Linked DNA regions of Mus musculus: regions 1 and 2 are each reported to be linked to region 3. Evidence: microRNA targets listed by miRTarBase, many of them from high-throughput screens and not tested one by one. Region 3 holds a microRNA gene; each other region holds the end of a gene's coding sequence.
The links. The annotated mature microRNA mmu-miR-346-5p reads UGUCUGCCCGAGUGCCUGCCUCU and lies in region 3 at 898-920, opposite strand. An mRNA with a match to its seed (bases 2 to 7 or 8) in the 3' UTR can be bound and repressed. Matches are read on the target gene's strand: a 7mer-m8 pairs with bases 2 to 8, a 7mer-A1 pairs with bases 2 to 7 and ends in A, and an 8mer does both.

Region 1: the mRNA of Nrip1 is a reported target of mmu-miR-346-5p. The part of its 3' UTR that is shown has no 7-base or 8-base seed match.
Region 2: the mRNA of Zfp689 is a reported target of mmu-miR-346-5p. Seed matches in the 3' UTR shown: 7mer-A1 at 1,121-1,127.

The regions. Positions count from the first base shown.
Region 1 is chr16:76,288,448-76,291,797 of GRCm38, reverse strand. Nrip1 (nuclear receptor interacting protein 1) reads left to right here. Exons shown (of 4, transcript NM_173440.3): 4 at 1-3,350. The coding sequence ends at 616. Among named protein-coding and RNA genes, the nearest start is that of Gm30569, 11 kb to the left of the region's middle.
Region 2 is chr7:127,441,118-127,444,117 of GRCm38, reverse strand. It overlaps Zfp689 (zinc finger protein 689), which reads left to right. Exons shown (of 3, transcript NM_175163.3): 3 at 1-1,982. The coding sequence ends at 164. Among named protein-coding and RNA genes, the nearest start is that of B130055M24Rik, 5.8 kb to the left of the region's middle.
Region 3 is chr14:34,892,544-34,895,543 of GRCm38, reverse strand. Mir346 (microRNA 346) reads right to left here and starts at 935; the gene lies at 838-935. The region is part of intron 2 of Grid1 (glutamate receptor, ionotropic, delta 1); the gene reads right to left.

The sequences.
Region 1 (3,350 bases), not on the chromosome of region 3:
TGTCCCCGACACGAAAAAGAAAGGACACAAAAACAACGCGCCCGGCAGCAAACCTGAATTCGGCATTTCTTCTTTAAATGGACTGATGTATAGTTCCCCGCAGCCTGGCAGTTGTGTGACGGATCATAGGACATTTTCATACCCGGGAATGGTAAAGACCCCTCTGAGCCCTCCTTTCCCAGAGCACTTGGGCTGTGTGGGGTCCAGACCAGAACCTGGGCTTTTGAATGGATGTTCCGTGCCCGGTGAGAAGGGACCCATTAAGTGGGTCATCGCAGATATGGATAAGAATGAATACGAAAAAGACTCTCCAAGACTGACCAAAACTAATCCGATCCTCTATTACATGCTCCAGAAGGGAGGGGGCAATTCTGTTACCACACAAGAAACCCAGGACAAAGACATCTGGAGGGAGCCTGCGTCAGCCGAGAGTCTCTCACAGGTTACAGTCAAAGAAGAGCTACTTCCCGCTGCAGAAACTAAAGCTTCTTTCTTTAATCTAAGAAGCCCGTACAATAGCCATATGGGAAATAATGCTTCTCGCCCACACAGTACAAATGGAGAAGTGTATGGACTTCTGGGAAACGCGCTCACCATAAAAAAAGAGTCAGAATAAATGTGTACCTGCCATACCACTTTGGGTCTTTTTAAAATTTAGTCAGTATGAACTTGAGATCTGTATAAATAAGAGCATGATTTGAGAAAAGCATGGTATAACTGAAACTCCTTCCTTTTGAAAGTATTGGTCACTGGTGATGTTTAAATATGCATACTAATTTTTGCTTAACATTAGATGTCATGAGGAAACAATTGAACTCGAGGTTGGTTGTTTACTATTTCTGTATGCATCAGATAACAACTGTGACTAGCCTACGAATGAACCTGTTTTTATAATCGTAAATAAGAGGCATACATTAAAATGCACAACTTCACCAGTAGTGGATTGATGCAACTTGCTGTCTTTATTAGGGTTGTTCATTTCCCATCTCAGAAGCCAGCCTACATAACGTGTTTGTAACATCCAAACTGTTAGCTATTTGGAAGATAACCAAATTAGGAAAAAAAAAAAAACCCAGAAGCCTTGTGCTGATTCACACCTCATCAGTCTAAAAGTAAGAAAAAGCAATGCTTACATTTTTTCACTTTTGCTAAACAAAATTCTTTTTAACTCTTGGAAGGGGTTTTGCGGTTCCCAATGAGTCTGCCCCACCCCAGACCTTTTCAATATATATATTTCTTTAAACCTTTTACTATTTAGTAACAATTGATTACAATAGAGGGGAGTTTAATAGATCCTTAAAAATAAAAGGCAGATTTCCATTTTTTTATATTTTGACTACTTTACTAAATTAATACTCCTCCTTTTTCAAAATTAGAGAAGGAAATCTTCACTCACCTTCAGGCTGTTTCCTGGACAATTGACTACTTAGAAATCGTTTTTAACAAAAGCAGAAATGGGTTTTCTTTGGATGGTTTTTACCGTCTCTTTTGAAAGTTGATCCTCACCACTCCTGTGGGACCCGTGACTTTACAACCAGGATTTCTTAATTCTGGACAGAGACACTGCATTCATCTGACTATCACATGAGTCTCTGGAACAGTTATTTAAATGCAGACTCCTAGGCAGCATCTCAGGTCTACAGAACACCGTCTCCAAGTGGACCCGGGCGTCCTCCTTCCGCCTGTATCCTGACATGTTCTGTATGTGCTTCTTCCGCACACTGATGTTTGAAAACTGTGGCTTAGGACTTTTCCAGAACATGAGACTTTAAAGTAACTATCTGATGCCTATACTTTTCCCCCAATACAGTCACATATCCACTCAAAATTTGCAATATCATAGTTCCAATCTTACTATTATATCTTTGGAAATCGGGTTCGGAATACTTTTTATGACAAAAAAAAAAAATTGGGTAGAGGGGACAACTTTCCTATCTGGGTCAACATCTCAGGAAAATCTGTGATTATTTATTTGCTCTAATTAGTAAGATTAACTTAATTAGCCTTAGGGGTGGAATAACAGGGCCACTTAGCAAACTCAGGTGATCCCAGGACGGTTGGGAAACTTCTTGAATACATCCTTACCTGCTAGTCAAACTGTCCTCTGCACAGCAGTGTTTATGGAGTTAACAGATTCAACCCAAGAAAGACATCAAACTCAGATTACCTGAAACCAAATCAAAGGGCACTTATCAATCCATGACAGGACCTGCACAGTCACTTCACGGATCAATTCATTTTAAACAGGCATTAAAAGTAAATACTGACATTGTCTTGAAAGAACTTAATATATAATTGAGCCACGTGGAATTTCAGTCTTGAAACAGGTTGGTTTTTAAGTTCATTTGTTTATAGCCCACAGTTCCTCCTCCAGGCAATATTTTTTGTTTTTCAGTTTTGAGCCAGGTTAACAACTGACTTATCAAAAACTTACTGTGTACTCAGCAGTTAAGTAGGAAGAAGTTTATTTGGAATTGTTATACATACTTGAAGTTGTTTCTAAGATTTTTTTTATATATATTACAAATGGACATTATTTCTTAATTACCTAAAATTCTAAATGGTTATTTTTTCTCAAGATGATTTGTAAATAGTTAATGGGTATGTTATATGGTAACCAGAGTGTATGTTATGCAACATCAGAGAAAGGAGAACGTGTATGCTTATTCTGCTATGAAAAATTCCACTGGCCAGTGAGGTACTTTACTCCATGTTTATACTGTGACAATCTCATTGTCTACACTATATAAATAAGCTTTACACTTAGTCATTTTTCTTGGTCATGGTGAAAGGGCTGGAGCCTTAGAAATATATTGTAGGATGCTGGAGTTCGTCCTCTGTTCACGGCGCAGTAGTCTTCTTACAATGGAACAGCACTTAGGTCAGGGAAACGTCCAGAGCCAGCATCGCTTCGCTTTGTTTTGTTTTGTTTTTGTTGGAATGAGAATATGTAAGACAAAAATAAACATGCCTATGAAGGATGCTGTTCTGACTTTCTAGAGAATAACCCCCCCCCCATGTTTTGTTTAGAGAAATCTTAAAGAAGAGAAAGGGCATAATACATCCACAAATTCACTTTGCATATGTAGATTCAAATATGCACATACACATTTTCGAGGACTATTTTCGATATCTGGGCAGTTTCTTCCTAATAAAGTCATTTGTGAATGGGTACTACAGCTCTCATTGACATCAGTAAGGTAGCATTACCTGTTTATTCTCTGCTACATCTTACAGAAGAATAAACTGGTGAGAGTATATATTTTCTATATATATACATATATATATATATAAATGTGTATATATATATATTGACTTGTTACATGAAGATGTTAAAATTGGTTTTTAAA
Region 2 (3,000 bases), not on the chromosome of region 3:
ACCAGCTTCTGCACACTGGGGAAAAGCCTTTCCCCTGCCTTGAGTGTGGCCGGTGCTTCCGCCAGAGGTGGTCCCTGGCTGTCCACAAGTGCTGCCCCAACACCCCCAATGGTAGCCCTAGACCTCTTATAGGAGGGCCCAGCCAGAGGAGCAGTGCTCTTTAGCATAACAAAGATGACAGAAAGTCACTTTATGGAAGGGTGCAAAACTCAGGAGTAGCTGCCAGAGGTCCTACAGAATGGGAGCAGACCCAGAGCCCTGGCCCGCTGCTCCACAGCCCGAACCCAGAACACTGGGTGCCCTACAGCATGTCTGAAACAGTTACCAGGCGACATGATGCCATGTGATTAAAGTTTTCCAAGCTAACTTGTCTTAAAATAATATGGGTGTGTTCTTCTCCCAGCCTCTTTTAGGGGCTGCCTTCTTGGTTTGTGTATACAGATAATATTCAGTCAGGAGACTCATTTATAGAAGGCAGAACCTCCCCTGCTCTGCCTCTATTTCTGTATCATGGGGAAAGCCTGAGTTTGGCTCCATATTTGCAACACTCCTGCCAAGTGATAGGCCATCGCTGAAAAGGAGCTCTCTACCTCACATGCGGGCCGTTTCCTTGTAGGATGGTGCTAATTTTTAGGAGGCTATTTATTGCATTCTCCTTTGTAAACCCAGTCTAGGGTAAGCTTAATACTTTACCCACAGGGTAGCTCTTCAGAAAACCTAATCAGTCTATTTTGTGCCCAGGTTTGTGTGTGTGTGTGTGTGTGTGTGTGTGTGAGAGAGAGAGAGAGAGAGAGACAGAGAGAGAGAGAAAGAGAGAGAGAGAGAGAGAGAGAGAGAGAGAGAGGTTGAATGTGTGATTCACCTCAGCCTTCTGAGTAATTGGTAGTCTGGGCTCTGGTCAACTGTTCTTTTTTTTTTTTTTTTAAGGAGTATATGCATAGTTTAACTATTTATTTATATTTTACGGGTTTGAATGTTTTGCCTACATGTATATCTCTACACCATGATTGGGCCTGGTACCCAAAGGAGGACAGATGAGAGAATCAGAGCCCCTGGAACTGAGTTACAAATGTTGTGAGCCACCATGTGCTGGGAATTGAATCCCAGGTCCTCTGGAAGAGCAGACAGTGGCCTTAACTACTGAGCCATCTCTCCAGCCCCTGGTCATTCTTGGAAGAGTGGCTCTTGGTTCCCACAAGTGAAATCTGTCTCTTCTTAGGGATCATACAGAAACAAAAAGAGTATCATGCCATGTGCTGTATACACCAATCTTAACTACTCCAGGCCACGCTGCTTTGGGGTGATGATTTCTTTATTATGTATACATGCCTGTTCTGCATGGTCAGAAAAGGGCACCAGATCTCATTATAGAGGGTTATGAGCTACCATGTGGTTGCTGGAAATTGAACTCGGAACCTCTGGAGGAGCAGTCAGTGCTCTTAACCACGGAGCCATCTCTCCAACCCCAGTTTCAGACCTCTACACACCCTCACCTTTCTTCTTCAAGACGTAGTAAAACCAAATCTTCACCACTTTTGAAAAGTTGGTTCAGGCTGGGTGTGAGGCATCAACACAGTACACTGAAAGGTTTAAGAGGAAATGGGGTGATTGGTACCAAGCAGCAGGAGGTAGACTTCAGTTTGCTACGGGTGACTAATAGCTGGAAAAATGGCACCCACCTGACTAGGTGCTCAGTAAAACTTTACTACCTTCTTGCCTTGGGCAGCTGTACCGACGTGGTACATCAAATATGACTTCTGCCAACAGCTGAACTGGGTCAACCTCCTGCATCTGCTTCTCTATGGAGCATCTGCCCTCAGCTCTGGGTGGGGGCAGATGGCAAACACTGACTTGTAATTAATTACCTCTGTTTAGGTGTGTAGCAAATTGATTGTAACCATTTGTCTGTTTTTTCATGGATAATGAGTGCCCTCTGGTTAGGGGCAGTGCCAGATAGGATTTCATTAAAATATTTAATGGAAGAATTCTGCTCCTTCTGGAATTACTCTTCACAAAACATGAATCTAGTTCTTTGAGAAGAAATGTAATGTTATAGCAGAGATTGAACCCCTTAGACCAAGCCTTTCCTTAGCCAAGACCTGGGTGCCTACCAAGCCCCCAGTGTTAGTTAGAACTGCCTCTGTTAACCACATACTAACAAAGTCATTCCGCATACAGGAATTTTCCAGTTGCTTCTGGCTCCAGGTTGTGATTTAAAATGAAAGCTATTGTGGCTAACTTCCATCATGTCCATGGAGAGCAGAGATGAGAACTATGTAAGCTTCTTAAGGCCCTTTTTTGCCTGGGTCCATTCCAAATGTGATTCTGGCACTTTAATCAGTGAAGATCCCGTTGTGTTTCCAATTAACTCCTCTTTATAAACTCTATGGGGAAAACCACAGTGCTGTTGAGAAGGGCTGGTCCATGCATGATTTCTCTCTTAGCCCTAACCTCAGTTGCGCCTCCAATATTTCAGATATCAGATATTCTTAGCAGTGAGTACCTATTGTTCACCAAAGGACCACAAAAAGAAACGATCCACATCCCACTGTCCTCTCCCAGTGCCCCAGTGTACCTACTAAGTGCACGTGTTCCATCAGTTCTTGGGGAGCCCTTCAGGCGTGAAGTTCATTCATATGCCGGGTTTCATCCACCTCTAGTATTCTCTTCTGCTGTAGAATTTTTTAATCCCAATTTGGGGTTTCTATCCCACCTTGATCATTCAGTTCGTGGATAAAAGACACACAACCTTTATTATTTACAATAAGCCTTAAACAGCACAAGAGCTGTGCAGCTATCTCTCTACCCTCTATGCTATTAGAATCTACTTTCCTATTGATAACCCTGAGTTATTACTATGTTTCATCTGGGCTGCTCTTAACTCCAATTGGCCAGCCCTCAGGATCATGAGGCTTCCCCATTCACCTTCTCCCCCTCATGGTTCTCCTCTGACCTGCCAAGCCGTCTATGTCTCTTCTGCCCAACTATTGGCTGTTGGCA
Region 3 (3,000 bases):
TGCCCCACCCCACTGCACTCTATTGAGAGGAGCATGCCATTCAGACAGACTGAAAATGCCCAGCTCTCAGTTATACAGAGGATCCAGATGATGAAAATGAGAGAGGGGAGGGGACTTGTCTAAGAACCCAGCAAGTTCACGGCAGAGCTGGGAACATATTCCAGTTGTCTTCCTTCCAGCAGGTTCATGGCTTCTGTGTTGATGTTGTTTCACAGTGACCTTGGATGCTCACTTAGCTCATTCTCATATAGAGCCTTAACTAAACTCTCCACTTCATGCTCAGGCTGAGCCATGGCAGACTGTAGGTTGCTGGCTTCCCCCATCCCAGCAGCTTTGTCACTGTGGAGCTAGGAGGCCAACCCCACGAGCAGGTATAACCTTACCCCTTGGTCTTCAATGTCATTTTCTTCATCTTTGAGTTCTCTGCAACATCTCTGTCGCCTGGACACTTAATAGAACTCCCAGCCTGCCCTCCCTGTGTGCCCTTAGCACCTTGTCCCACTTTCTCCCAGGGCTGGAGTCTGTAACCTGCCCCACAGCTGGGAGACATTTAGTCCCTGCTGCTCTCTACCCTGCCACACAGCCCTGGATGAAGGACTCCAGATGCAGCTTTATCTGACGAAGTGGACCTGACCTAAGCTTCACTACACTTCTTCAGAGCCCATCTTCAGTCATGTCCACTCCCTCGCCACTCTGTCCTTAGGGCCAGACTTCCAGGATCTTCCCTGACTTGGCATAGTGATGCCCATGCTGGCTGTGAAGGTCAGGTGTGCTGTAGACCAGAGGCATGACGTCGTGAGTCTGTAACCAGAGAGAGGAGCCAGCAGTGTGTCCCTCGAAGGAGCAGCTCTGCCCAGGCAGCTGCAGGCCCAGCCCCTGCCTCCTTCAGAGCAACAGAGAGGCAGGCACTCGGGCAGACAGACGCCCAACACAGAGACCTCCTAACCGCCTGGTCGCAGCACCTCGGCCCTGTCTTCCGTGGCATCACAGATGAGGAAGCCTCTCCAGGAGGCCAACTCTGTTGAGCAGAGACTCAGAGACTCGCAGGGGAAAGAGCTGCTTCTTGGCCACCCTCAGAAATCCTCCCAGTAGTGCCATCCTTCACAGAAGCCTGGGACCTGCACTTGCCTGGCCTTTTGCTTTTACTGGCTAGTTAAGTAACTAAAGTAGCATGACCAGAAAGATGTCGCCTTGGCTACACACTAGGGACAGCCATAGGCTGCTCAACAATCCTTCCCAGCCAGCCTGACCTAGGCCTTCAGTCTGAATGGCCGCCTTGCCCAGCTTCCTTTGGACGGATACTCCTCAAACCCTGTTCCATCTTTTAAACTGCCCTCACTCCTTTCCCCTCCACCTCCCTGACGTTATCTAGCCACCCCATCCTTCTCCCTCTCTCTTTCACTTTCTCTTGTTTACTCCATTGGGACTCTTGTCAGGCCTCAGCCCCTGGGACAGTAAGCCACATCCTAACTCACATGGCATTCCAGTCTTTTCAGCTGCACCTGTCCCAACCATCTGTGCCAGGCTCTATGTCGCATGATTGAAAAGTCAAGAATTAGAGACAGCTCCCATTCTGAAGGTGAGGATACTGAAGCTTGCCCACATAGACTCACAGTTTCTAAGTGCAGTGGCACGAGGTGAACTTGAACTCAGATGTGTCAGAATCCAGAGCGCCATGTTTTACTCCTAGCCCTGCCATCTCCCCAACACTTTAGCTTTCATGAGCATTCAGGGGTTCCATGTGGAGTCCAGCTCTTCCAGGTCCATGGAGGAGGAAGCAGGAGTACCGGGCTCCCACACATGACGATGACACTGATCAATGGTCTGTCTTCCTTCAGTGCCACTGAGTGTCACCTGTACCTGTCTTTAGCGGAGAGGAAGTCAGCAGTTTCCAGCGATGAAAGGCTGCTCCTGATTGGACATCATAATCATATTTGCCCAAAAGTTATTTTCATTCTGCAACTTTCCTGGTGACAACATCAAACGTCAAGTAATGCCTCTGCAGATGGGCAACGCCATTGGTCTCCTATCAGCACTGCCCCCACTCACGCTGCTCAGCCTCCTGAATTCTGTGCCCTGCCACTCAACCTCCTGGTCCCAGACCTCAGAGATTCCTCTTACCCAGGGACCCACTTGCAGAGTTGTCCCAAGCTTCCCAGTGGGGCAGCAAGAAAAGAAATAGGTCCCCACAGAGTTTGGGGCTGGAGCTACTCTGCTATTCATCCTATACCCTCAACACCACCATAGCTGACTCCCAAACACACCTGTGACCCTGGCTATAACTCCGAGGCTTGCCACAAAGCCCCCAGTGCATAGCCACAATGACCTCACTACCACACTCCCACGAGTGGCCCTCTAACTCCACGCAACCCTTTAGAAAACACTCATAGGACATCCCTGACACACACACACACACACATACAAATGCACACAGAGAAATATCAATAACCCCAAACCACTCTACCAGGCCCCTAAATTCACTTCCTGGATTCCTAGAACTTCCTCACAGCCAAGTACCCCCCCCCGGGGGGGGGGCTCTGCACTTGTCCCATACTCCACCCAAATCTGACCCAATTTTCCCTGTCAAGTGTGCATGGGAACCAGTCTTCTCGGATGGGGACAGGTGAGAGGAACACTGTCTTGCTCCAATCCCCAATTCCAGGTCTCTAACATTGACAAACCCAGCCCAGAGCCTCGGGATCCAATCTGCAGCATCTCTTCTAGGGCATGGATTCCGGCCACCAGACAGTGCTCAGCAGACAGCCACAAATGTGTAGCGCATAATAAATGCACAAGGTGTGGGGGGGATGCACCTAGTGCCTCATTAGCTTGGCCTCTAAAGCTGGGTCTCATTAGCCCAACTTCAGACAAAGAAAGCTCCAAGAAGCAGACGGGGAGGTTGGGGGGAGCTGAAGTTGTGCCATCAATGGGAAGGGCTATAGTCAGATTAAATCCTGCTAGAACCTGAGCCTCTACTGCCCGGGAACCACCCTGACACAT